Linked DNA regions of Medicago truncatula. The main gene of each other region encodes a partner of the protein of the gene in region 2 in a complex. Links are inferred from orthologs where the notes say so. Each region holds a gene or a part of one and is shown on either strand. Other genes may lie near its edges. The genes, in order: protein TIC 22, chloroplastic; short-chain dehydrogenase TIC 32, chloroplastic; protein TIC 20-II, chloroplastic; protein TIC 20-v, chloroplastic.

Region 1 (7,176 bases), on a different chromosome or scaffold from region 2:
AACACATTCTTTTTACTTCGTTAGAAAAACACGTTAGAATATATTCGATCCTCTGTGGAAAAATTAGAAATGCATGTTGACTAAAATGGACTATACACAAACTTATAAAATTATCTCCTTTTGTGGTAATGTTTTTTTATGGAATCTCCTTTTGCGGTAATAGTGATGTTATTTGAACACAATTTTGACATGAACACTATATAAAGTATATTTTGGTTAAATCGACATAAATTTAGGAGTTAGTTGAAAACGAGGCTATATTGCTAACGCGTAAGCGGCCACATTTGCATGTTCTGAATAAATTTAATATGAGAATTTTCAAAAAATAACATGCCATAATATCTCCCCTACTTTTACTAAAATAGTCGGCCACTCTTTTTGAATCAAGCTTATTTACTGACTTCATCTTTCTCACTTTTTATTTTATTTTATATGCGGTTTACATGAATTACCAAAATATACAAACACACAAAGACACCGTATTTTTATCAATTTTCTATGTCCATTAACATATCTGATTGAAAAATAGGGAAGTGTAAATTTTACTAAATGTTACACTGTTACTGGTGGAAGATTTTTCTTCTTAAAAAAATAGAGATTAAACTGCATGCACGATGTTGTGCGGTGAGCCTTTTTCTTTTTGTATTAGTCTGATATTTAAACATAAAAACCACCGTCTTTATTTATTCTCCTTGGTAGGTCTGCATACACCAATAGCAACTAATAATAAAAATATCCGCGCTTATCCTTCATCTAGTATAGATCAAGAATCTGGAATTTATCAACAGCAAAAAATAGTATGATCTATTTCCAATAGACATGTGTTGGAAAAAGATGAGAAGTGTTATTAAATTTAAAGGTGGGTTGTTACATTTTTTTTTTGGTACATGGTTGTTAGATTATTTAATAAGTATGAGAAAGTATAACTAAATCATTTCATTGTAATAAACCATTTAATATAATGAATATTAATAAAGAGATACAAACTAGTAGTTATAGATATAGCCATTAATTGGATTTGGCCATTAATAAAGATATAGCCATCATGTAATAAACCATTGTGTTACAGGAATATATTCAACAAAATCAGCTTATCACACTCTTTTGAATCGCTTCCATGATGTTGAAAACAACCACAACTTTAATTGGATTTGGAAACTCAAGGTATCTTCCAATATTCAATTTTTTATGTGGCAAATTTGCCTTAGTTCTCTACCAACAAAGTCAATTCTTGTATCTCGTCATATAGCTCCATCAGCGACTTGTCCTATTTGTAATGCATCAGAAGAGGCTATGATCCATTGTCTTTTGACTTGTACAATAGCTAAAGAGGTTTGGAAGAAGTGCTTCAATACTTCTCTTATTCCACCTGCGGATGACAGCTCCTTAGGTTCTTGGGTGGAGAATTGTTTTAAAAATCATGGAATTTTCCCACTTTTAATCATGTGGAAGTGTTGGTGTGCCAGAAATAAGTTCATTTTTGATGGCATAAAGACACCATTCTTTATAATTGTAGCAGAGTGTAATGCTCTTTACATGCACACTGTCAAGGCATTTGGAATTGGGGGCACATGTGCTCGTGGAAGTGAGGTTGCACGTGAGGTTTGTTGGAAGAGACCGGATACTGGATGGATTGCTTTGAATGTTGATGGGAGCGCTCTCACTAACCCAGGTGCAGCGGGCTTTGGAGGCATCATTCGAAATCATGAAGGTCGATTGATGCTTGGGCTTAGTGGATCTGTTGGTTGGTCTAATATCTTGTATGCCGAGTTGATGGGTTTGCTTAAAGGTATGTTGTTGTGTTGGGAAGAAGGGTACCGGAAAGTTCAATGTTTTACTGATTCCTTGAAAACTATTAGACTCATTAATGAGGCAAACACATTATATCATCTTTATGGTAATGAGGTTGCTTTGTTGCGTAAGCTGCTGCAACGTAATTGGCAGGTGCATATATCTCACATCTACCGCGAAGGTAATTCTTGTGCGGACTGGTTTGTGAAGACGGGTGCTAGAAACAATGTCGACCTCACAGTTTGTAGAAACCCCCCTACAGATTTAGGCCCCTTTTTAATTGCTGATGCTAATGGTACTCGGTTTGTGAGACCTTAGTTTTTTTTTTCTTCCTTTTTTCTTTGTAACCAAAAAAGATATAGCCATTAAGTTAAGGCATAAGCAACTTTATTGATTTACCTTAAAATAAACATCAATCTTAAGAGTTTTCCAACAAATAAGAAAAATCAAGCCTACAAGTTGAACCAAATATATGAGATGTCATTTTGATCGAATGTGAAAAACATCCGCATCTCTTTTACATCAATATTTCGATGTGTGGAACAAAATTAGCAACAATAAGTTATTAAAGTAACCAAACAACCACATACAATAAAATAAGATAAAAGGAGGAGGAAGAAGAGGAGAAGAAGACAACAATATTTGTTTATCCAATTCGGTCCAAATCGATATATGTTTGGAGGAGATAATTGTTCTCCAATCCACCATCAAAGAGTTTCTTACAAAGAGATACATGGGCTCCCCGACCTTAGAATTTCTCCCCAATAGACACTAATGTTTAGTCAATTGATTCTCTAAAGGTTCCCTCTTTTGTACTCTCTAAGCTTGTCTTTTTTCACACTCTTAAACCCTAAACAAGAGGTCATATTTATAAGATGTGTTCAACCCTTAAAACTTGCCAAATACAAAAAAAAAAAAAAAAAAAAAAAAAACGTGTACATGTGCTCCACAGATGGAGCATTGTGCCCCGAGCAGTAGCAAGAAGACTATTGCAAAGCACATCCATGTGCCCAACGTATCCTTTTTCTATGTGCCCCATGCATGAGGTAGTAGCACATAGTCTTCGTGAAACACAATTTCAAGGCATATTGAACAATTATCCACATTGCTCTTAAATTGATGGTGATGCCACTTTAACCATCAACCACCTTGTTGTTTGCCCTTGCTTCCAACTACACATGTATTCTCATAAGATTTCATATTTACCTCTTGAACCCTCAGAATTACTTCCAGTCTCTTTATGGCCCTTGGATCCTACTACACTAGGCATTTTAGGTAGTTCCACAAGTTTTATCATAGCCTTTCAACCTTTGGAGTGATTATTTACGTCTTCTTGAAGATTTCCTTGCTCTTAATTGTTTCTATAAAGCTACTTGGTTTCGAGTCTTGCATCTCCTCAGCCACAATTAAAGCATAACACACAAGAATTCCACAGTCATACTACTTTGGTACAACAATATCCCTCATTTTCGTTGTCTTCAAGACACAAGACATTCACACTCTTGGCCTTGTCCCAATCTCGATTTGGTCTGCTTGTGATATGGTGGTCAACAAATGCACCATCACCCTTCAATGCCTATGTACACTATTGTTGAGTCAAGACTACTTGTATCCTCACCTTCAACAACTTGAAATCGTTGTCTTCAACAATTTTCTCAATATCCCACTTTATACTCATGGTGCTAGAGTAACGATTTGTAAAACTAGAGGGATTAATTTACAAATTTTGAAAAACTATACAGATGAATTTTCATGACTAATTTAATCTTTTTTAAAATTTATAGAGGCCAAATTGCAATTTATAAAAAATAATTAGGGAACAATTTGCAAATATTAATTGAAAATTCAAATGTTTAAATCAAATTCATTTCGTTTATATTTTTTTATCTGGTTCATGCACCGGCAAAAAATGAACTACTATAAAATAACCAATGAACTAGTCCAAATACTAAGCGATTTGAGTCTTTTACACATATGATCAAAAGTTCAATTACCACCAACTCGAAATTGCAACTTTCGTCAAAATACTCCCTCAATTTTGCGAAACTTCAAAACCTCCAGTATTTTGTCAAATGTGTCTATCGATTTTGCATGTCATAGAGAGTAATGGCAAAATCAGAGAAGAGTGCAACATACGTCTGACAAAATCAAGGAGGTTTTTGAAGTTTCGCAAAATCGAGAAAGATTTTCCACAAAAGTTACAATTTCGGAGAAGAAATGATTGACAATTCACTCAAAGTTCAATTTCAGAAGAGATAATTGACAATTTCGACAAAGGATTTGACGAATGTTAAATCAAACCTATGAACTCATCTTATACATCAATTGTTTCTCAAGGAAGATTAACCACTCGACTCTAATTCACTATTGGGCCAAAACAAACTAGACGCTTAACCCACAATTTTGACAAAATCCGAGTTTGTAGTTTATCCACGATTAGAACTTAGAAGTTAGTAGAAGAAACAAAAATGGAGTCACAAGGACAGTGGAATCCGCTTCTATCATTTTCGCGGTTCATCCATCAAAACTGTAACCACCTTGCAACTCGTTTCGAAGACACAAGAAAATTCGCTGGAACCCTAATTCAATCTCACACTCGCACCAAACCGGCTTTCGCCGCTACTTTAACTTCCAACCACGTCGCCAAATCTCTCGCCGGAACCTCCGTTTACACCGTCAGTAGTTCCAACAATGAATTCGTACTTATGTCTGATGCTGAAGGTGCTAAGTCCATCGGATTGCTTTGCTTTCGCCAAGAAGACGCTGAAGCTTTCCTTGCTCAGGTAAGTTCCTCTCTCAGTAATTTGTTCATTTTTTATTTTCTTGATTTCATGCTGTTAATGATTTTTTTGTTCGTTGTTTTAGGTTCGATCAAGGAAAAATGAATTTCGAGGCAATGCTAAGGTTGTTCCAATAACTCTTGAACAGGTAGTTATTTTTCCATTTCATAATTATCTCCTGCTAATCCTGGTTTTATCACATTTTGTTGATGTGAAAATGAAACCATCCTGTGTTTCGTACTCGAATGCTTTTAATTCACTAAGGGCTTATTTGAGCTTATTTAGTGGCATAAATTTTGTGAAACCGTTTGGGAGAACTTATGAAAACAACTTATGACATTTTTCATAAGTTTTGTTCAGCTTATTTCATAAGTTGTCCAAGATAGTTTATGAAAACAGTTTATAGCATAAACAAAAACAATTTAACTTAGTAATCCAAATAAAATAAAATAAAACAATTTAACTTTATTTTATCTCTTGCTATAGAAATAGCTTATATAAGCTGATACATAAGCGCTTATCATGATAAGTGTTTGTACTATAAGGTGCAAATAAGTTTTTTTTTTATCCAAAAGGGCCTAATTCATGTATCAATGGCACTCAATGAAATTATGGTTTGGCTTCTATCATATTGAGAGTCAAAGTAATTAATTAATTATGTTGGAAACAATTCATTGTTAAAAACCTTCAAGACTTTTAAGAATCAGTTGTAAATGAAATGATTCTACGTGATTTTCCCCCTTTGAATTCGTATCAATACGGGCTATGTTACTATCAGCATTTAGAACCATGTGCTACTGACATAGCACCTACAACCATGAATGTCACACCTTTCCTTTTAATAAAGGGTAAGGGGGAACCTGCTATCAGATACTTTTTGAAGCATAATAAGTATGGTTTTTATCCTGTATCTGTAACAACTTTTCTGCCTGCGTTATAGGTATACTTGTTGAAGGTTGAAGGTATTGCATTCCGATTTTTACCCGATCCACTTCAAATAAGGAATGCACTAGAGGTTAGTTCCAGTTATAATTGTTGCACACAACATATTACTTAAAAGCCAAACTAGTATTTTCATCATCTGAGTCCTATACCAGTGTCACTATGGAATGAGTTAAGTCTTATCAGTTTTAAATGTAAATCATGGAGGAAAATAAGCTTCAGTAATATGCATGATAGCTGCGGTGTGGGAATTCTGTGACTGAACAGGTAGCATATATGTTCAAGTGCTGAACTGTTGGATTGTGTTTAATTTCATTTTCGTTGTGTTTATCAGCTCAGAGCCGCCAACAAGGAAGGTTTTGATGGAGTTCCTGTTTTTCAGGTATGTTTTCTTACTTTGGCAGTCTCCAGTCCTTCAGAGGACTGATTGGGCAATGGTGAGGGTGTGGGCAGGAGATACAGATTGACATGTGTTTGTCGTTTCGTTAATGTATATATCAGTAGCTATAAGTGTGGAATTCATAATATTTTATTTTCACTGAACTTACTGCCAAGTAATTAACTGCAGCCAATGCATGGTACGGAACATATAAATTCCAAGACTGGCAAACAGCTTAAAAACCATCGAACTATTTTAGTATCTGCCCATCTGGAGTCTAATTTAAATATTTGAAAAATATTGGTAGTAATTGATCATGTTAATTTTTAACCTATTGACTAATAATCACATTTGCTTACAGTCAGAACTTTTGGTTGTGAAGAAGAAGAATAAACGTTATTGCCCTGTATATTTCTCTAAGGTTTGTCTAACCCATTGGTCTCTTTAATTGCAATTCTGGTCCCTCTCTTATGGTCAATATGCAATTTTGTCCCTCTATTTTTAATTTAGAAATTTTGTCCCTCGATATTTTTAATTACACAATTTTGGTTCCTCAGTCAAGTTGTCATCCAATTTTTAACTATGATGATGATGTGGCGGTCAAATACGTGACATTGAATATGTGAAATTGACATGGCTATAGAGTGCTTATATGGTGTTACATGTCTGCTGTACACATATGATGCTTATATGGCTATATAAACAATTTATTTTTATTTTTTTTTAGCAAAGTAGAATGCTTAGGACCCGAATTCACACCTAGGCTTTTAAACTAACATTCTTAACCACTACACCAACTCAACGGGCTACCGTAATATAGCAAGTATGAATGTGTGTGTAATACAAACAACACTTGGTGGCCGTGTTAGCTTCACACGTTCAATGTCATGTCAGCATTTGACTGTTGCATCATCTTCATTGTTAAACATTTAGGGACAACTTGATTAATGGGCTCAAATTGAGAAATGAAAAATAGGATGAACCTTAATTGCAGATTGGCAATAAGAGAGGGACCATAAGTGCAATTAACCCCAAATCATAGTTAGGCATGTAGCTTGATGGAATATAATCATATGATAGTTTTCGTTTGTTGTTTAAATGGACAGGAAGATATTGAACAAGAACTATCTAAGGTTTCCAGGGTATCTAAAGGTCCTGGAGTTTCCAAGCAAATAATGGTATAGAATCTCTCATCTCTTGCTCTTGTTTTTGTTAGTCTGTCAGAAACTTGTTACTCTGTATGAAACTATATGACCTTGAAAACAATTATGGTGAAGCAATAAT
Region 2 (6,905 bases):
TGGGGATGCTTCAACTTTTCACAGGTTTCCTTGGTTACAGGACGGGATGAGACTCTCGTTCATGAATATAGCATACATAGTGGACATTATTATCCCACATTTTCAAGTAGCTTGACTTCATTTCTCTAAGAATATCGTTACATCTTTTCACCTCTTGAAATGTCTCTTTTACATTTCCACCACTTACATGACATTTATTATTGTTTGGAAATTATAACTGATTCACAACTAGAACTAACAATGGAGCTGTTCTTGTAATACTTGTTGAAAGGAGATGTGTTATGTACTTATGTGTAGATAGTTATGTTTAATTCCTTGTTTACAGTTGAAACAATTCGCTTATCTTAGTTGCATGAAGAATTAAGAGTGGAAAAGTTGTTTCTGTAGTATTTGTCGACTGGAGTAATGTTATTCCAATTTAATTATGTTTGCTTCCTTGTATACAGTTACAGCAAATGGGGTGCATATGGACAGTCAAAGCTTGCTAATATTTTACATGCCAACCAACTTACAAAACATTTCAAGGTATGGTATGCTTACTTCTACTATATAGTGGTGTTACTTATTTAACATGTTATCCAGTGAAGTAGTTTATTGATAGTGTTATTATCTCTCATTATTTTAACCTTAATCTCGATGTAACAAGTTCTATTTTATTATTTTTAGAAGTGCTGTAGCATTAAATCTGCATATTTCTTCTGTGGAAAATTACTTTCTTCTGCAGTGTGAACTGTGAATGGAAGAATTTTGATTTAGAGTTACTTGTTTTTTTTACAGCATTTGTCTTCAAACTACACTTATAAATCATAATCCTTTTTACAGCATCTGCTATCTTAATCACCTATCAATTGGTGACTGGTTTTTTTATTATAAAATATCAATGACCAAATATTGTTAAACATCAACTTTAGTGGATGTTTTATCCGCCTCCATTCCAACTCCACCTAGTTGGAACAGGCTTTAGTTGTTGGTGTTCCTTCATTCAAGTCTCTGAAAAAGACGCAAACTTTGCATCCCTTTTGGCAACCATAATCATAGCTTTCTCAGTCTCCCTCCCTTTTGATGGTTTTGCCACAATAATTATCTTTGATTTATAACATTACTTGTTGCATTTTGATCAGGATGATGGTGTGAATATCATTGCAAATTCTCTTCATCCAGGAGGCATTGCCACCAATCTTTACCGTCATAACAGTGCAATCAACGGTAACTATTATAGCATTATACTATTCAGGTTGTCTATGAATTATTATACAAGTCCTCTGATGTGGCATTCTAAATTATTTGTTCTGTATCATCTACCGTTATGTGGCACTATCTTTCTTTGTTAACTTCATGTTACTTGTCCTAAAGAAATTTTCGGTGGATTTTACAATGATATAAGTTCTTATCTGTCTACATTGCTCTAGGTGTTTTATCCTATATTTGGTACATGATTATTGTTCAGAACCCACCATCTAATAATATTATGATTAAGGTTGGTCGTTGCCCCCCTCTGAATTTTGAAGAATACAAACATGTTTTTTTTTAACAAGGAAGAATATAGACATGTTAAAGACCACAATCAACCTTGTAAGCATTCATCGGAAACATGATCACCATGATCGCCGAGAGTCTGAAACAAAAAGACTTTGTACTCCCTCCTAACTATTTTGTTTGTTTGTACTATTTTTATTTCAATTCTAGTAATTTATCTTTCTTATACTATTAAAGAAGGCTAATTTTCTAAAGTAAGCCATACGTTTTATAAAATCAACAAAATTAATTACGTTTCTTAATTCGTGCATTATTTGCTAAATTGACTAATATTGAAGGACAGAGTGAGTAATTTACAGCACTTGATTGGTACACCAAGTCATCCATAATGTACAACAACAATAAAATCATCCTAGAAGTTGGATGCTTTGTCAGTCTCTCCACTATTCTTCCCTAACCATTTACATTATTACTTTATTGTCATCAAGCACTTCATTGTGTTTATCTGACTACTACTATAAATACATTTGATGATTTTGAATTGGGTGGTTTTTCTGGTTTGTTTGTTTACACACTGGCATTCTGCAGTGTCCATAAAGTTTGTTTGCTTTTTCATGTGTAGAGATATTGACAGTAGCTGAGTTCTATAGATATACTATTGATGTTTGATTTATGCAACAGGTATAGTAAATGTGGTTGGCAAACTTGTGATGAAAAACGTTCCACAGGTATGTCAAAATCATTATGACCTACTATTTATAAATGTGAGGGGTCATGTCAAATAAATATTGGTTGTTATAAACATTTATTAACTAAACATAGATTATAACTTTATAAGCTTTCTGCTAGTTGCATGTTAACTTTCTCCTCTATCTAAATGTAGGGGGCAGCCACAACCTGCTATGTAGCATTGCACCCACAAGTGAAGGGAGTTAGTGGTGAATATTTTTCAGACAATAATGTGGCCAAATCAAGTTCACATGGGAAGGATGCTGATTTGGCTAAGAAACTTTGGGATTTCAGCATGAATTTGATCAAGGACAAATAGAATAACCAAGTGTTGTATAAGAATGAAAATGACATTGTAATGTGTGTGCACGAAACTAATTGATAAAAAGAAAATGGAAATAACATTCATTGTTCATGTCAATGTGAAATGCATCTATAACATAATTGATTGTCACGTTTGAAACAAGATTGTAATTCAATATGAAATAGGGTCCCTTAATATGGACCTCTTGTAAAAGGGTCCAAACATGGTCCTCCTAAATCAAACCGAATATTGCCCTTTTTGTTCTTTGGTTTATTATTATTATTATTATTATTAGGTTTTGCTGTTCATTTAGAGTGAAGTGGTAGACTCCGGAAATACACTTGTGCGACATTGTGATGTTAATGTATGTATTTTGAAACGGATAGAGTAATTAACATGAAATATTTTTTTTGAAATAATGAAATATTTTTATACTACAGATTTTCAAATTCATAGTTTACCTTTTTAATTCATATTTTACATTTTTATTTTTTGCAAAAGGCAAAATGGCTTATATTAAACACAAGGTAGAGTACAAATATAAAGTCATTAATAAGGCTTCTACCAAAAAAAAAAAAAAAAAAAGGCAATAAGGCAAGCACTTTATGCAGCAAGAACCCCACTCTGAGGAGTGAAGACAAGAGGACAACCATTCCTTCAATCAATCCAACTCCCTGACTGAGTGAGTGTAATTGTAGAAACAACACAACTCAACTAAACAACTTAGTACCACACATTAAATTCCACCTCACCAACTTGGCCACATCCAATCCAGTGCACTAAATTACTAAGGGTAGAAAAGAACTCTTATATCGTTTGAGGAACTCTTTTTTATTTTATTTTTTTATCTTTTATTGAGTTAGACTTATGTCCCCCTAATTTTATGTTTATGTTTTTTTATTTCTTGAATAAATTTTTAGTTTATAAAAAAATTAGGAATTGAAGAAAACATGTTGACATTTTTTCAAAAATAAATGTTGTTGGTGTATACAAATTAAATCATTTGATTGAAGAAAACATTTTCCTCATTTAGTATACTTCAATCCTTTTATCTCAATAGATAGAATATAATGTAATGAAATAAGTTGTAAAATAATAATTAAATGAAATAAATTTAATGATTTTAGACGGAAAAAGAAAAAATCTTCCCATAATTTGAAATTAAAGAAAAAAGTTTGAATAAATACAGAAATGGAATTAGATTATTTTTTGAATGAAGAAATTGAATATCGACAGATAAAATAATTACTTTTATGGACAAAGATAAAATGTTTACTTTTTCTACTATTTCAATATATACATATATGATATAATAAAAAGAGATAAAAAAAGTTTGATGTGTTTCCATATCATCCAGATATATAGTAGCGTCACGTCAGTTACAACAAGCACTGCAATTGCAATATATCTCGGTCACTGCTTTTGTGACACACGGCAGAGAAAGAGATTGATACGCAATATGTGGCCATTCAGCAAGAAAGGTGTTTCTGGTTTTTCATGGAACTCAACTGCTGAACAAGTCACACATGGAATCGATGCTACTGGTCTCACTGCCATTGTTACTGGTTGATCTTTCTTTCTTAATCATTTCCCAAAATGGTATCTCTTCATGCAAACAATTTTATACGTACGTGAATGTTTATGTTAATATATGTAAATTCAAACAGACGCTAAAAAGATTATGATGAAGACTACTATTATATCTACACGAAAATCTTTTTAGTGTCTATTTCAATTTGCATACTTGAGTTTATATATTAACATAAACATTTGTGAGATTGATGAGGGAGTTTATATATATAAATATCCTATATTATATTCATAAACGTTTTCAGCTTATGTTAATAAGTTCTTTAGGACAACTTGTGAAAATAGTTTAATTTTATTATATCTTTTGGTTGAATACAATTTTGATTTCCAGAAATTGCATAAAAAAATTATGCAGTATTGTATTACTTTGTAGCTTTGCATCACATAAGCATAGGTTTTGGGATGAATTATTTACAAGCTTTTTCGATAAAGATCTAAGACCCCCCATATTTAACTCTATCCAATTTAGCCTCCGCAATACCACTTTTTTGTGTTAACTCAGGAGAAAGGTCCGGAGTTTGTAAGAAAAGTTTCGCCAAGAATTGTTTCACCAGGAATCAAACTCAAGTTATCCTGAACACTAACAATTCGTTTTTGGTAAAGCGTATTAACCACTTGAGTCCAATTGCTTGGATGGTGCAATATCCCTTTAAAACTACTAGTGGTGGTAGTAAATAATAATGATCTACAGCCAATCTCAAAATATTGAAATTTGCAAACAGTTTTCTTAGATTAATCATGATTTATCTCTTAGTTTTTTTCTCTTTATCTTCTTCTGGATTACATATCCATAAGATTTTTTAAAATGGTTTGTGAATCTAACTGTGGGCACATTTTGACAGCAAATTTTTGAAATATAAAAAATTGTGATTGTAAATTGTAATGCAACCACGACCACAATTTGAAACCCTGTATATGCATGCTACATTGAAATCATTGATAAATAAATATCGAGATGTGTGACTATTTTAATGCGGTATAGTATATGGTCATTGTGGTAACAGGAGCATCCAGCGGCATTGGCGCTGAGACTGCTCGTGTCCTTGCTTTGCGCGGTGTGCATGTGATTATGGGTGTGAGAAACTTGGTTGCTGCTAAAGATGTCAAAGATACAATACTCAAGGACATTCCCTCAGCCAAACTTGATGCCATGGAGTTAGATCTCAGCTCATTGGACTCTGTCAAGAAATTTGCATCTGAGTATAATTCTTCTGGTCGTCCACTGAACATCTTGATGTAAGAAAATGAGATTAATTTAGTCATATAATTATCAGATTTATTTTTACTGTTTTATTGAAGTTGTTAGTTACTTGTTCTGTCTCATTATATATGTTTGTTATTTCTATGTTCCAACTTCCAATTGTGCTTTCTTAATTACAATCATTCAAGTCAACACATTAGTACTAATTTTTCTTGTTTGTTTGTTTGCAACTGTAAGAAATAATGCAGGAGTTATGGCATGCCCTTTCAAGTTGTCCAAAGACAACATTGAACTGCAGTTTGCCACCAATCACATAGGTATGTGGTGCATGTTACTGTTTTATTCTCCGGAAAATTCATTTGATGACCGACACAGTGACATTAATCAATTTTAATAACCTTTTACTCTTCTTGTAATATGAATTATTCACAAACTTTCCAGCACTAGAGTGGAAAGGGAGGAGAACTTTGCCACTTGCAATAGTTTATAGGGAGCACAGGACATGTGTTTTATTGATTTCTAATTCAAAGAATTTAACAATATCAGGGATAAAAGTGATAGTTTGTACATCACTGAAATATGTGTAATTTACACTTCTGATCCATCTCAATCAACTTATGTAACACATCAAGTAACTATTTTACTGTTTTTTTTTGTTGAGAATTTTACTGTATCTTTTAATACATAGGATGAGAAGAAGCAATATTTCTGATTTTATTTATGAATTATTGTAATTACGCAGGTCATTTTCTCTTGACAAATCTTTTGTTGGATACTATGAAGAAAACAACACGCAAAAGTAAGAAAGAAGGAAGAATTGTTAATGTCGCCTCAGAGGCTCATAGGTTCGCATATTCTGAAGGAATCCGTTTTGATAAAATCAATGACGAATCAAGGTAAATGTCATGTGATTGATTTTGTTTTCTTCCTTGATTACATTTTATTAGCAATTGGCTAACATTAGTTGCATGGTGAATTAAACTTGGAAATGTGACCTCTTTATACAGTTACAGCAGATGGGGTGCATATGGACAGTCAAAACTTGCTAACATATTACATGCCAACCAACTTACAAAGCATCTCAAGGTATGCTTACTTCTACTACATGTTATATGTTTTACCATAATTCAATATAAGTTAGCATTATTGTACCTCACTTGTCTTAATGTTTTGGTTGATTAATAAAAAGGATGTCCTTAGTTAGGTATGTGTTCTTTTCTTTGTCCCTTGAGCTTTTATCAGTTGACAAAGAAACTGATATTTCTGACTAAACATAATCAGACTATAGCATGAGTGCATGACCTCTTTGGCTTTACGGCCTGTTTGGTAGAGTCCATAAAAACAACTTATGATATGTCCCTAAGTTGTTTTCAGCTTATTTCCATGAACTCTACATGATAGCTTATGAAAACAACTTCTAGCTTATATGGAAATAGTTTGACTTTATTTTATCTTTTATCATAGATATATTTCATACATACGCACTTATATGAGGAACTTTTATTCGATAAGTGCGCTTAGTTAAGTTGTTTATCGAGATAGAGCCTTAACTTTGCTTGTTATGTACAATTAGTTGCTTAATTATCTACTAATTAAATCTGATCA
Region 3 (5,594 bases), on a different chromosome or scaffold from region 2:
CATTACAGCAGCTCACAGCAAAAAAATTATCCTTGATCTGTAATCTAACAACATTAAGCCAAAGCACCATTACATAAGAACAATCCCTCAGAGCATGTAAAATAGTTCCTGACTCGGCCCCACACAAATTACAACAAGAACTACCCCATCAACCTACCATGAACCGCGAGCCACTGAAAGAATTTGATCCTCTCTTGAACTTGAAGTTTCCAAATTTTAATCCATAAATCATGAGATTTCTTAAACTCAGAACTGCATAACAAGTGATAAGTTGTTGCCACTTCTAGTACTTTTCATTAGGAAGTACATGGGCAACGTCAAATTCCATGTAAACCAAGAAGTGAATTTTGTTCGGGTAATGTTGTCTATTTGTCAAAGAATTTAGTGAGTTATCATGGATTCACTGTTTAGTTACGTTTTTCACAATCGTAAAATAACCCATAAAAGTTTATAAAATCTAACTTCATTTCACATTTCATCTTATACCACAAATAATGTGATACATCAAACACTCCATAAATTGAAAAGGATAATTAATTGTATTCATTCATTAATTCAAGTAACCCAAAATAACTAACAGAACAGCAAAAGAGAGGTAATTGTTTGTTTGATACAATTCAATACAACACATAGTAATCCTATAATCTATCATATGATATTCAGATTTGTCTAGCAGCAGCATCAGCAACAAAAGGCAGGTAAGGAGTCCTACCCAAAAGACAACACAAAGCACTATAAACAAAACACAGAATACTAAAAACAAACACAACATTATGCGACCAAACCAAAATCTTAAAACCTAATCCATATCTCCCAGGAGAGAAAATCCTCTGAAACAGCATCGGAAGAACCAGAAGCACATCTAATGTCAGAGCCTGCATAGCATTGAATCTAACATACTGTGGAAAAATAGGGTTCCTCACAATTCCCAAGTAAAGCGCGAAGAACGCTATGAACGAAGCGTAAGGGAGGGATCTGTAGAATGAGAGGAAAGGGATGATTGGGTCGAAGAGGAGTGCGACTTTAGGGTATTGGGTGAGAATGTTGTGACCATATTGAAGGGAATTGAAGAATGGAAGTGCGTATGCGGCGATTGAGATTAACCGTTCTGGTGCTGCGGGTGTGGATGTGCTTGCTTTAACGACGCCGTTTCTGAGTTTGAGTTTGAGTGATGGTTTAGTTAAGGGTGAGAATGAAAGGGAATTGGGTTTTGGTTTTAGGGTTAGGGTTGAGGATTTGGGGGTGTGGTGAAAAATGCAGGGACGGTGGAGAATAGAAAGGGAAGCCATTTTTGGTTTCAGAATCGGTTCTTGGTAACTTCTGCAAAATGGAATTAAACAACTGTTTTAGATCCTTTATCTGCTGCTGCATGCAGTTACTTTCATTGGGCCGGTAAAAAACTATGAGTAGTGATATTTTGGCAAATATTTTGGTACAACTTTTATTATTCTCTCTTTTCATTGGTAAAAAATATTGGAGAGAGAAATAAAAATATAATGTGAGTATGAGAGAGAAAGTTGTACAAAAGTTGTACCAAAATTGTTGTACAAATATCATTTCTCAAAAACTATAGGGTCTTGCTAACCATTGCCCAAAAGTAACATGTTTGCATTGATTTCAACATTTTGATTTTTAAAAAGTTAAATTTATCATTTTTCACTATTTTCTAATACTATATTTCTATTTTTATCCCCTTATCTAATGTCCCAAGGACAATGATTAGCATTCTCCAAAACTATATTATTTTTCAAGTATATATTATTTAAGGTTAATAGTGTTGTTCACCCCTATAATATATGTCATTTCCGATTTTCGCTCCTACAAAATTTTCAGTTTGATTTGCACCATCGTAAAATTTTTATTTTTCGGAAAACACCCCTAATAGGCCATTTTCATATTTTTTTTTCAAGAAATTTTGGTTTTTGAATGGCCTATTAAGGGTGTTTTCCGGAAAATAAAATTTTTACGAGGTGAAAATCAAACCGAAAATTTTATGGGGGCGAAAACCAGAAATTACATATATTACAGGGGTGAAAAGCACTATTAACCCTATTATTTATTTTCTGGTAATTTTTTTTTCTTTTTTTTGAGATTATAAAATATAATATGATTAATTGAATATCTTTTGAGTACTTTTTTAATGATTTTTGGAAATAAGACGAGATGTAATATCTTCACATATGGTGTATATGTATGTACATCTTTTTTTCGTGTTTTATATTTGTTCTTGTCATCGAATGTAAGAGTCTATTGGAGGTGGTGTGAAACAATTGTTGTGTTGGTTCACGGTGGTTAGAGCAGATTTTTCATGAATGTAAGAGGGTGTACCTGCAAAGATACCCCAACGCTAAAGTCAGTGAAGTTTCAACGAGCATTGAGAAGATTTCTTGAAATGAGAGTGTGTACCTTGTTTTCCATGTGACACACCTGTTTATAGAACTTGTGTGGATGTATTGGATTTACCCTTGAGGCACGATGGTCAGGCAATCATTGGATAAAATGAAGGGCTCCAAAATGCTTCGAGTATATGATTTTGTATGATCTGACTCTTCACGAGTGCATGTAGACCACAACATCCTTTGGATGCCTTATCGGGACTTCGTTGGCTAAGGTTTCGTTGTAAGTTAACGTGAATGGTACTTTATCTTGGAATCAAGCTTCACGAGGTGGTCGCACAGTTAAAGACATGTACAATGCAATAATAAACGAGAATGTTAGCGATGCTTGTCGTCTATATGATTGTGTTGATGTTCTTAAATAAAAGGTTATTCCCAAAGCATATTTTGATTCGCAGAGAAACGAAATGACGTATGAACGAACTTAAACAACAAGGGCTTCCCATCCACCTTCATACGCAACTATCACTCGAGTCTATCAACTAATAGTTGGGGGGGGGGGGGGGGGGTAACTGTTCTGGTATGGGCTGACACCCAACAACTAATAAGTTCTAAAGGGCTCCTCGCAAAAAGGAGTACATGGGGCTGCGGCATAGGAGTGAACGGAATCGAATGAGAACAAATGAACAGCTAAAGAGGCTTGTGGCATAAGAGCACACATACTGAAGATGAACAACCAGCAGGGTGTGTGGAACAAGAGCAATCTAATTAAATCTGGACAACCAACATGGATCAGTGGCACAAATCTGCCATGGACCAAACTCTCACAGTTGCCCAGGTAAAGGTACAAGGACTAAAACCTTAAATTGCCGCCATAAATATTGGCTCATAAGCATGAGGTCAAGTGCGTTCACTTTACACATATGCACCTACCGCCCATGCCACTCACTGATTTGAACGTCGGATTCACTTGGAGAAGAAGGCCGCAGGCGACTAAGATAAATGCAACAACTGAAGGAAATGTCTTACTTAAAAGCCATTCAACATCATCAACTACAAAATCTCAGGTTCGATAGGATCAACTATGTTGTAGGTGGATATTATCAATCACTTACATTGTTGAATATATATAACTATAAAATTTAGATTTCAATAATAATATTGTTTTATATGAGAAATTTAAAGTGAGGGGATGCTTAATTCAATGCAAGAAAGTCTTTAATATTTAAATTACAATTACAAAGAGATTTTCATTTACATTTTCTCAAGAGTGCTAATAGGGCATGAACTCGAAACTTAAACTTAATCAATATAATTAATTATAATAATTTTTTTGATTGATACTTCTTCATATTTAAAATATAAATACAGGCCCATCCCTTTGAATCTACAATGCCCAACTCAGCTGAAAGTGTTGGACCGAACTTTTTTTTTTCTTTGTATTGATCGAGTATAAAGTTTGAACCTTAAATTGTTTTTTATTTTTGTGTGAGTTTTCAAAGTAAATTATTTCTTACGAGAGAGAGTGAAAAATATTATTCACTTGAAAAAAAAAAAAAGTAGATGCATTGGATATCGTAAGTGTGCGCTAGTGTAGTTGAGCTACCCCACTGAACACAACAAAGAGTAAGTACCTTAGATTTCATCGATCCGACATCAATCAAAAAACTTGCTTGTTTCAGTTTCAGTTTCATGGCTTCCTCGTTGTCTTCCACTTCACCTTCTGCTGCTCCTACTGTCACTGTTGCAGCTGCAGCTTCCACCAAATCTGCACGCTTTTCTCATTCCTCCATCTCTTTCCCTCGTCTCTCTCCTAATTCCAACAACTCTCTCCGCTTTTTCACCAAGGTATCTATCTCTTTCCATATCACATTTTATCTTCCTAAATTTATATTTATACTTTCTTTTTAATTCAAATTGTCACTAATTTATGTATGTCTTTGTGCAGGGATGCCCACCTAATCATATGCTATTATGCCCCAGGGTTAAGGCTCAACTAAATGAGGTAAACATTCTCCCTTTTACACTTCATATCTATGAACACACAGACACGAACACCGAACATGATACTGACACGCAGTGCCGGTATTGTTTCCGTGTCAGACACCACCTGAGAGGCCTTTAATGTTTGTGGCTGTTTGAATTGACTTATTTGAGTTAATTTACTGACATAAACACTTGAGAGACTGTTTTGGAGAACTTATGAAAACAACTTATGATATGTTCGTAAGCTGTTTTCAGGTTATTTTCATATGTTCTATAAGATAGCTTATGGAAACAGCTTATAGATTATACGAAAACACTTCAATTTAATTTTATCTTTTGTTATAGAAGTAACTTATACGTAAGTGCTTATGCTATAAGCTGCAAATTAAGTTGTTTCTTTAAATCTGAAGTGTCAGTGCTACTGTAACATAGCTTTATGTGAGTTTAGATTGAATTTTCCTCATAAAAAAACACAAAATTACAATCATTGGTTGGAAAATTAACAGTTGAGTTTGTGATAAAATACATACATTTATGCTGCAAACTATAAGTTTGCCAAAATCTGTTCTCTTGATAGATATGTGCGCACTGCGTCCACATAGACATATGTTTCTATGCTGATTTTGGTCTCTTTTTTTGGCTTCAACAAGGTTGCCCTTGATGGTTCTTCTAATGATGTGCCTCCTAAAGCCAAATCAGATGTTGAACCACCGACCGCACCTTCAGTTGAACCATCTTCTTCAGTCTTGGCAGATCAAGAATCAATCTCTGAACTTTTTGATCAAATTGCAAGTCTTGTCAAGTAAGTACCCGGCTGCTTCAATCTTGAACTTGATAAATGCTACTCCTCTGTTCAAAATTAATACTACCTCCGTCCCTAAATATAGGAGCCTTTTTCCAAAATTGCAGAGATTAAGAAAGTTGGTTGTAGTATTAAATTTGTATATAATTACTATTGTTTTTACAATTTTATCCTTAAGAGAGAGTTAATTTATGTTTTCAATATAATATTTATTGTTGATTGAAGAAAAAGATGCAAAATAAATAAGGGTATGTTGGTAAAGAAATAATTAATGTACTTGAAAATATCAAAGGAGTCTTATAAAAAGGGACAAATTATTTTTTCAAAAGTGTCTTATAATTAGGGACGGAGGTAGTAGTTGTTTTACCAAAAGTAAAAAAAAAAAAAAATCAAATTAAGTGTCGTCATTAATTATACCTTCTTATTTTTCCCTCATTAATTATATATGAGACATGTAGTTTATATTGCAA
Region 4 (5,870 bases), on a different chromosome or scaffold from region 2:
TCATGTCCTGGAGCACTAGTTGTTCACAGCGGTGAGGGCTTCGGTCCTGATGAATGCTTTAACCATTCAAAAGCGGTGAGGGCTTCGGTCCTGTTTGGTACCACATGCATAATTGTATATTTTGAGGAGTCTTAGTGGTGTTGTCATGTCTTGCATGAGTCTTAGCGGTGGTGTCGAGTTGTTGCATGAGTCGTTGTTGTTGGTTTTAATTATCATTTGGTTGATGTTGTTAATGATGATATACTTATATATTGATGAATTATTTTTATGACAGGGTGATAGATTTAATTGATGAGTTAGATATCTATTATTGATGATATTGTTGATTATGAAATATATACATATATTGGATAATTGTAGTTATCGTCGTTGTTGGTTGAATTAGTAAGTGTTACTAAAGTTAAAGAAGTAAGAACATTATTGTTAAATATATGTAATTGTTTATATTGTTATGATGTGATGATTATGTTGTGTCGTTTATATTATTATGAGAAGATGTTTATGATAATGATTACGAAGTTATGATGACTGTTTATGGTGTTGAATATGAGGTTGTTATGATGTTACATGATGATGATTATGAATGTTGTGATGATGATTATGTGATGTTATCTATGAGTTGTTAAATGTACTTGATGATAGTTATGTTAAGTTGATAAGTTGTCTTTTATTTATGAATTGCTAATGGAATGTTTGATGAATAATTATTATTATGGAATGATGATGTTACGTATAGTTGCTAAGTTGTCCTCTATTCATGAGTTGTTAATAAGGTGCTTTGGTGGAGAATGTTAATACGAATTAATGATGTTGTTATGTTGTATATGAACTATGAATATGATGTTGTTACGTTGTTTATGTCATTGATTATGAAGTTGTCATGTTGTATACGAATTATAAGTATGACGTTATATGATTATGATTAAGATGTTGATTATGAAGTTAAATGATGTTGTTTATGATATCGAGTTATGAATGTTGATATGATGAGTACATGATATGGTTTAGGAGTCGTTAAAAGAATTATTATTACTAATTGATGGAGTTTAAGTTGTTAGATGCATTTTGATGAATTATATATTATTATTATTGATTGTGAATCTCACCCCTTCTGCTTGAAAATGTTGCCCTTCGTATGGGTAACTTGCAGGTAATAAAGATTAGTAGGAGTGGTGGCTCAACTGTCTAGGACTCTGATACGTACGGGATGGGATTTAGTTATATTTATTTTCATTCCTTATGTATCAATTTTGAAATTATGATGTGGAGCCTTTTATGGTCTTTTGAACAATGTTGTTGACTTATGCTGAGGCCTTTAGTGCCATAAACTGTTGTTGGATGTTCACGATGTTATTGATTTGAAAACTATTCCGCTGCTATGTTTTCATATTTTATCAAGTTGTTTTAATTAAATAGTATTATTTTCTATTTAAGAAATTTTGAAATGACGTGTAACATGCCCGTTGTGGAACTACTCTGATGAATATTTGTTATATAATTGTTTTTGGGTAACGGGGTGTTACAAAAAGTGCTGAAAGAGATAGTTTTCTTTATATATAGTATAAATACTATATATAACTAGCGAAAAAACGGGCACGTGACATGTGTAAATTATGAACGGTATTTTATATGAAATTTTGATTTTGATTAAAATTATAAGTACAAATATTTGTGAAATTAAAATTGTAATAAACCAAAAAAAAATCATGTTTATCTTTTACCACAACAACACAGTAGTTTAACAAATATAATATAAATTCTTATCTTTTTTTAATACCACCAAGAATGTAACATTAATATAGGAAAATTTGTTTAAGGGTATAATTGAAATTATAAAAAATTCAGCCCAAAGTCTCTATTCCCTTCATATATAGTATATATAGTATTTTGTCAAAAAAAAAAAAAGTATATATAGTATTGTTCATGTTGTAGTGGTATATTTCCTATTTTAATGAGATTTCATTTTTCTAATTCAAATTTAATATAATATTATTAAAGGATAAAATAGTAAATAAAATAGGCTTAATTGCACTTTTGGACCCCTAACTAATTTAAATACAAAACAGCCCCCTATGTTTTGATTTTTTTGCCAATTTTGGACCCCAATCCATTGTTGACTCGGTCAACGATGACGTGGCACCCAAAGTGAGGTGCCACTTGTCAATTTTTTTTTTTTGCCTTGGGGGTCCAAAATTGTTAAAGAATCAAAACATAGGGGACTGTTTTGTATTTAAATTAGTTAGGGGTCCATAACCGCAACTTTTGGAAAGATAGGGGTCCAAAAGTGCAATTAAGCAAATAAAATATTTTAAATGAATAGTAAAATCAATAGTATATACATATAAAGTAATGTTTTTATGCCACATGTTGCCTTTGTAATGCCCTGAATTCTGGTAGAACCGTGCACTTGCGGTTTTATCTCATCAGTCATCGAATCTATATAAAAATATGAATTTATATAAAAGAATGATATTTAAAATATAAAAAAATTAATTGAATGAATTCATTTTTTTTTTTAAGAAATATTTACTATTTCATAAATATACACATATAAAATGATTTTTTTTTTTTTATACTAAAGCTAGGTTATAACTTATAAGACCTTGCAAAAAAAAAAATTATTACCTTTAAACAATTTATCTAATTCAAATGAAAGATAGTACCTAAAATAAATCATAATTCGGTGGATCACAAATGAAACATTGTTGTAGGTCATCGAATCTATATAAAAGTATGAATTTATAAAAAAGAATGATATTTAAAATATAAAAAATCAATTGAAAGAATTCATTTTTCTTAAGAAAAATTTACTACTTCATAATTATACACACATAAAATGATTTTTTTTTTTCACTAAAGCTAGGTTATAAAGGCACTGCAAATAAAAATAAAATAATTTGCTCACTAATAACATAATTTTGAATTCCAAATTATTTCATAAAAAACGTAGAGTTTTTCTATTCACACCCTATATATTTCTGGTTACACCCAGTTTTTTTAAAAAGTTTTTGATAATACCAAAATTGTCCTTTTATATAAATTTTCTTAAAATCTTGATTTCATTCATTGTCACTCTAAAATTCCACTCTCTTTCACCCACCAACGATCAAACAATCCTGATGTTCAATTAATCGTTATGGAAGATTAAAGAGTGAATCAAAACATCTTTCATTCATACTCGATTGCATATAAATAAGTGAATTTTTTCTTCTTTTTCAATAACGCTGGTTTCAATTTTCTTCTTCTTGTTCAACTGCACTATACGACAGTTTCAGTTTTACATTGTTGAGGTTAACTTAAATTCAGTTTAAGTAGGTTCATGTAAACTTAGTTTACATAATCTACTTCAACTTAGTTTACATAACCTACTTAAACTGAGTTTAAGTATGTACACTTAAACTCAGTTTACATGACCTACTTAAACTAAGTTTAAATGTACATACCTAAACTGATATTACGTATAATCATTGAACAAGGTTGAACTTTTAGATGTACACTTAAACTGAGTTTACATGACCTACTTAAACTGAGTTTAAGTATGTATACTTAAACTCAGTTTACATGAGCTACTTAAACTAAGTTTACATGATCTATTTAAACTGAGTTTAAGTATGTACACTTAAACTTAGTTTACATGACCTACTTAAAATAAGTTTACATGTACATACTTAAACTGAGATTACGTAGAATCGTTAAACAATGTTGAACTTTTAAATGTACACTTAAATTCGGTTTACATGACTTACTTAAACTGAGTTTAAGTATGTACACTTAAACTCAATTTACATGACCTACTGAAACTAAGTTTACATGACCTACTTAAACTGAATAGGGATCTAGGGTGTAACCAAGAAAAAAGGAATATGCTTTTTGAAAATTAAATTTTATGGAAAGGTAATTTTGTCATTTTGGGGTGCAACCAAAATTAAACAGGGTGTAATTAGAAAAACTCAAAAATGTATTGATCAAGTGGTTCCAGAGTACATTTTAAATAGGTGGGAGCACCCAGGTTCGATTCTCAGGGGTGATAATTTTAATTTTTAATGATTTTTGCCAAGCTGAAAAAGAGGTTTCGAGAGTGATTGGATTAGAAGTGAAATTTAATTATTGTGATGGTTTAAATCGTAAAAAATCATTAATTTAAGATGAAGTGAATATGCAAATAATAAAATACTTGCTAAATTTTTGCAAAATAAAATAATAAATGTTATTATTCTAATGGAGTATACATGAAAACTTTTGATTGGTTTGGATAAATTGCTCATGAGTTTTCAAAGGCAACCTAGACATCTAATTGAAGTATAGACCATACTAAGAATACTAGTTTGAAAGAGAAACACGTTCTACCATACCTATCCTTGTCCTTCTTCTCTTTGCCCTTTTCCCACTTTCCAGTTCCTATCTTTACCTTACCCTCCCAAACTACCATTCATTCATTTTCAAGTTTGAAGCTTTAACCATGGCAAGCTCCACCTTCTTCTCCTCTGTAGCTATATCATCTCTCAGTCACTCACGAAAACCACTTCAATCAACCTTTCTCCTTTCTTCACCAAACCCTTCTTCTCTTTTCACACTTCCAAAGAAATTCACAAAATCCAACAAACTCAGAACCCTAATTGTATCCAAATCCAATAACAGTGATTCAGCTGATGCCAGTGACCGTTTAATTTCAGCTCTTTGTTACTTCTATCCCTTTTTTGATGGCATTCAATATGGAAAATTTGTAATCACTCAATTTTACCCAATTCAAGCCATTGTTCAACCATTGATTCCTGCAATTAGGGTTTTTAAAAGCTTTCCCTTTAATGGGTTTCTTGTGTTTTTGACACTTTACTTTTTTGTTGTCAGAAATCCTAATTTCAGTAAATATGTCAGGTTCAATACAATGCAAGCTATTGTTCTTGATGTGCTGTTGATTTTTCCTGATCTTTTGGAAAGAGGGTTTAATCCAAGAGGTGGGTTTGGATTGGATTTGTTGATGAGTTTGGATAGCACTGTGTTTTTGTTCTTGTTGGTGTGTTTGATTTATGGCTCTTCTTCTTGTATTTTGGGTCAGCTACCTAGATTGCCTATTGTTGCTGATGCTGCTGATAGGCAAGTTATGTGAATGTAGTTCATTTGTATTGTATAGAAACTTATTGTTTAAATTCAGCTTATTTCATAGTGGAAAAAATATTGATTTTTTCACTTAATTAATAGCAAGCCTAGAATCTTGTAAGGAAACAATTTTATTTGTTTCTCATTTTGCTGTATTGTTATATGATTTTCAAATTCATTGGTGAATTTGAGACACTGCTGAACTTCAATACTAGTATATTGTTTATTGAATAGAACTTATGTCTTTAGTTCTTATTACATTGTTGATTTTTAGTTTAAGCTATAGTGTTATCCTTTGAGAACACTAAGGATATTGAGGCCTGTCACTGTTCAATGTGATGATTGCATATGTTGCTTTGCAATGATTGCAGTGTTATTATGTAGATTTTTCTGTAATTTTCAAACCTACGCCGATCCTAATGTGATGCAGTTGCTGACAGTATTGCAGCTGCATTAGTTGATGCATTAGTCGATTTGGTGTAGCCACAATTTAAACCCATAGGTTATTTGTTAGGGAGAAAAGGAGACATAGATCAATGAAACAGATTTCATTTGTTTCGTATTTTGCTGTGTCTTTATATGAATTTCACATTCAGGAGTTTCTTTGTTTGGCTATAGTTTTTGGTGAATTTGTGACACTGAAAAACTTCCTTTACTATATAGATTGTTGTTAATTGAATAGAACTAATGCCTCTAGTTCGTATTAGATTGTCGGTTTTTTAGTTTGATCTATACTCTGGAAACAAAGTGTTAATTTTTCAGCACACTAAGGA

Evidence for each region.
Region 1: short-chain dehydrogenase TIC 32, chloroplastic (region 2) and protein TIC 22, chloroplastic share a complex: the UniProt entries of both Arabidopsis thaliana proteins name them as parts of the tic complex. The link is inferred for Medicago truncatula from reciprocal best matches to the Arabidopsis thaliana genes Tic32-IVa and Tic22-IV.
Region 3: short-chain dehydrogenase TIC 32, chloroplastic (region 2) and protein TIC 20-II, chloroplastic share a complex: the UniProt entries of both Arabidopsis thaliana proteins name them as parts of the tic complex. The link is inferred for Medicago truncatula from reciprocal best matches to the Arabidopsis thaliana genes Tic32-IVa and Tic20-II.
Region 4: short-chain dehydrogenase TIC 32, chloroplastic (region 2) and protein TIC 20-v, chloroplastic share a complex: the UniProt entries of both Arabidopsis thaliana proteins name them as parts of the tic complex. The link is inferred for Medicago truncatula from reciprocal best matches to the Arabidopsis thaliana genes Tic32-IVa and Tic20-V.

Annotation. Positions count from the first base shown.
Region 1 is NC_053044.1:50,226,077-50,233,252, forward strand, and holds the start of protein TIC 22, chloroplastic, read left to right. Parts: upstream 1-4,143; 5' UTR 4,144-4,259; coding exon 4,260-4,574; intron 4,575-4,656; coding exon 4,657-4,719; intron 4,720-5,511; coding exon 5,512-5,586; intron 5,587-5,847; coding exon 5,848-5,895; intron 5,896-6,253; coding exon 6,254-6,313; intron 6,314-6,998; coding exon 6,999-7,070; intron 7,071-7,176. UniProt on the Arabidopsis thaliana protein: Involved in protein precursor import into chloroplasts. Imported into the intermembrane space via the Toc translocon. May be involved in the import pathway used by proteins without a cleavable N-terminal pre-sequence.
Region 2 is NC_053042.1:48,849,769-48,856,673, reverse strand, and holds the start of short-chain dehydrogenase TIC 32, chloroplastic, read left to right. Parts: upstream 1-3,881; 5' UTR 3,882-3,968; coding exon 3,969-4,074; intron 4,075-5,103; coding exon 5,104-5,335; intron 5,336-5,537; coding exon 5,538-5,617; intron 5,618-6,042; coding exon 6,043-6,196; intron 6,197-6,307; coding exon 6,308-6,386; intron 6,387-6,905. Other genes in the region: short-chain dehydrogenase TIC 32, chloroplastic, read left to right, coding at 447-525, 1,122-1,206, 2,158-2,204, 2,360-2,524. UniProt on the Arabidopsis thaliana protein: Involved in protein precursor import into chloroplasts. Part of the redox regulon consisting of TIC32, TIC 55 and TIC62.
Region 3 is NC_053048.1:37,298,455-37,304,048, reverse strand, and holds protein TIC 20-II, chloroplastic, read right to left. Parts: upstream 1,342-5,594; 5' UTR 1,290-1,341; coding exon 660-1,289; 3' UTR 517-659; downstream 1-516. Other genes in the region: biotin carboxyl carrier protein of acetyl-CoA carboxylase, chloroplastic, read left to right, coding at 4,029-4,184, 4,285-4,341, 4,973-5,124. UniProt on the Arabidopsis thaliana protein: May be involved in protein precursor import into chloroplasts. Not redundant with TIC20-I, TIC20-IV or TIC20-V.
Region 4 is NC_053046.1:43,070,470-43,076,339, forward strand, and holds protein TIC 20-v, chloroplastic, read left to right. Parts: upstream 1-4,304; 5' UTR 4,305-4,459; coding exon 4,460-5,107; 3' UTR 5,108-5,333; downstream 5,334-5,870. UniProt on the Arabidopsis thaliana protein: May be involved in protein precursor import into chloroplasts. Not redundant with TIC20-I, TIC20-II or TIC20-IV.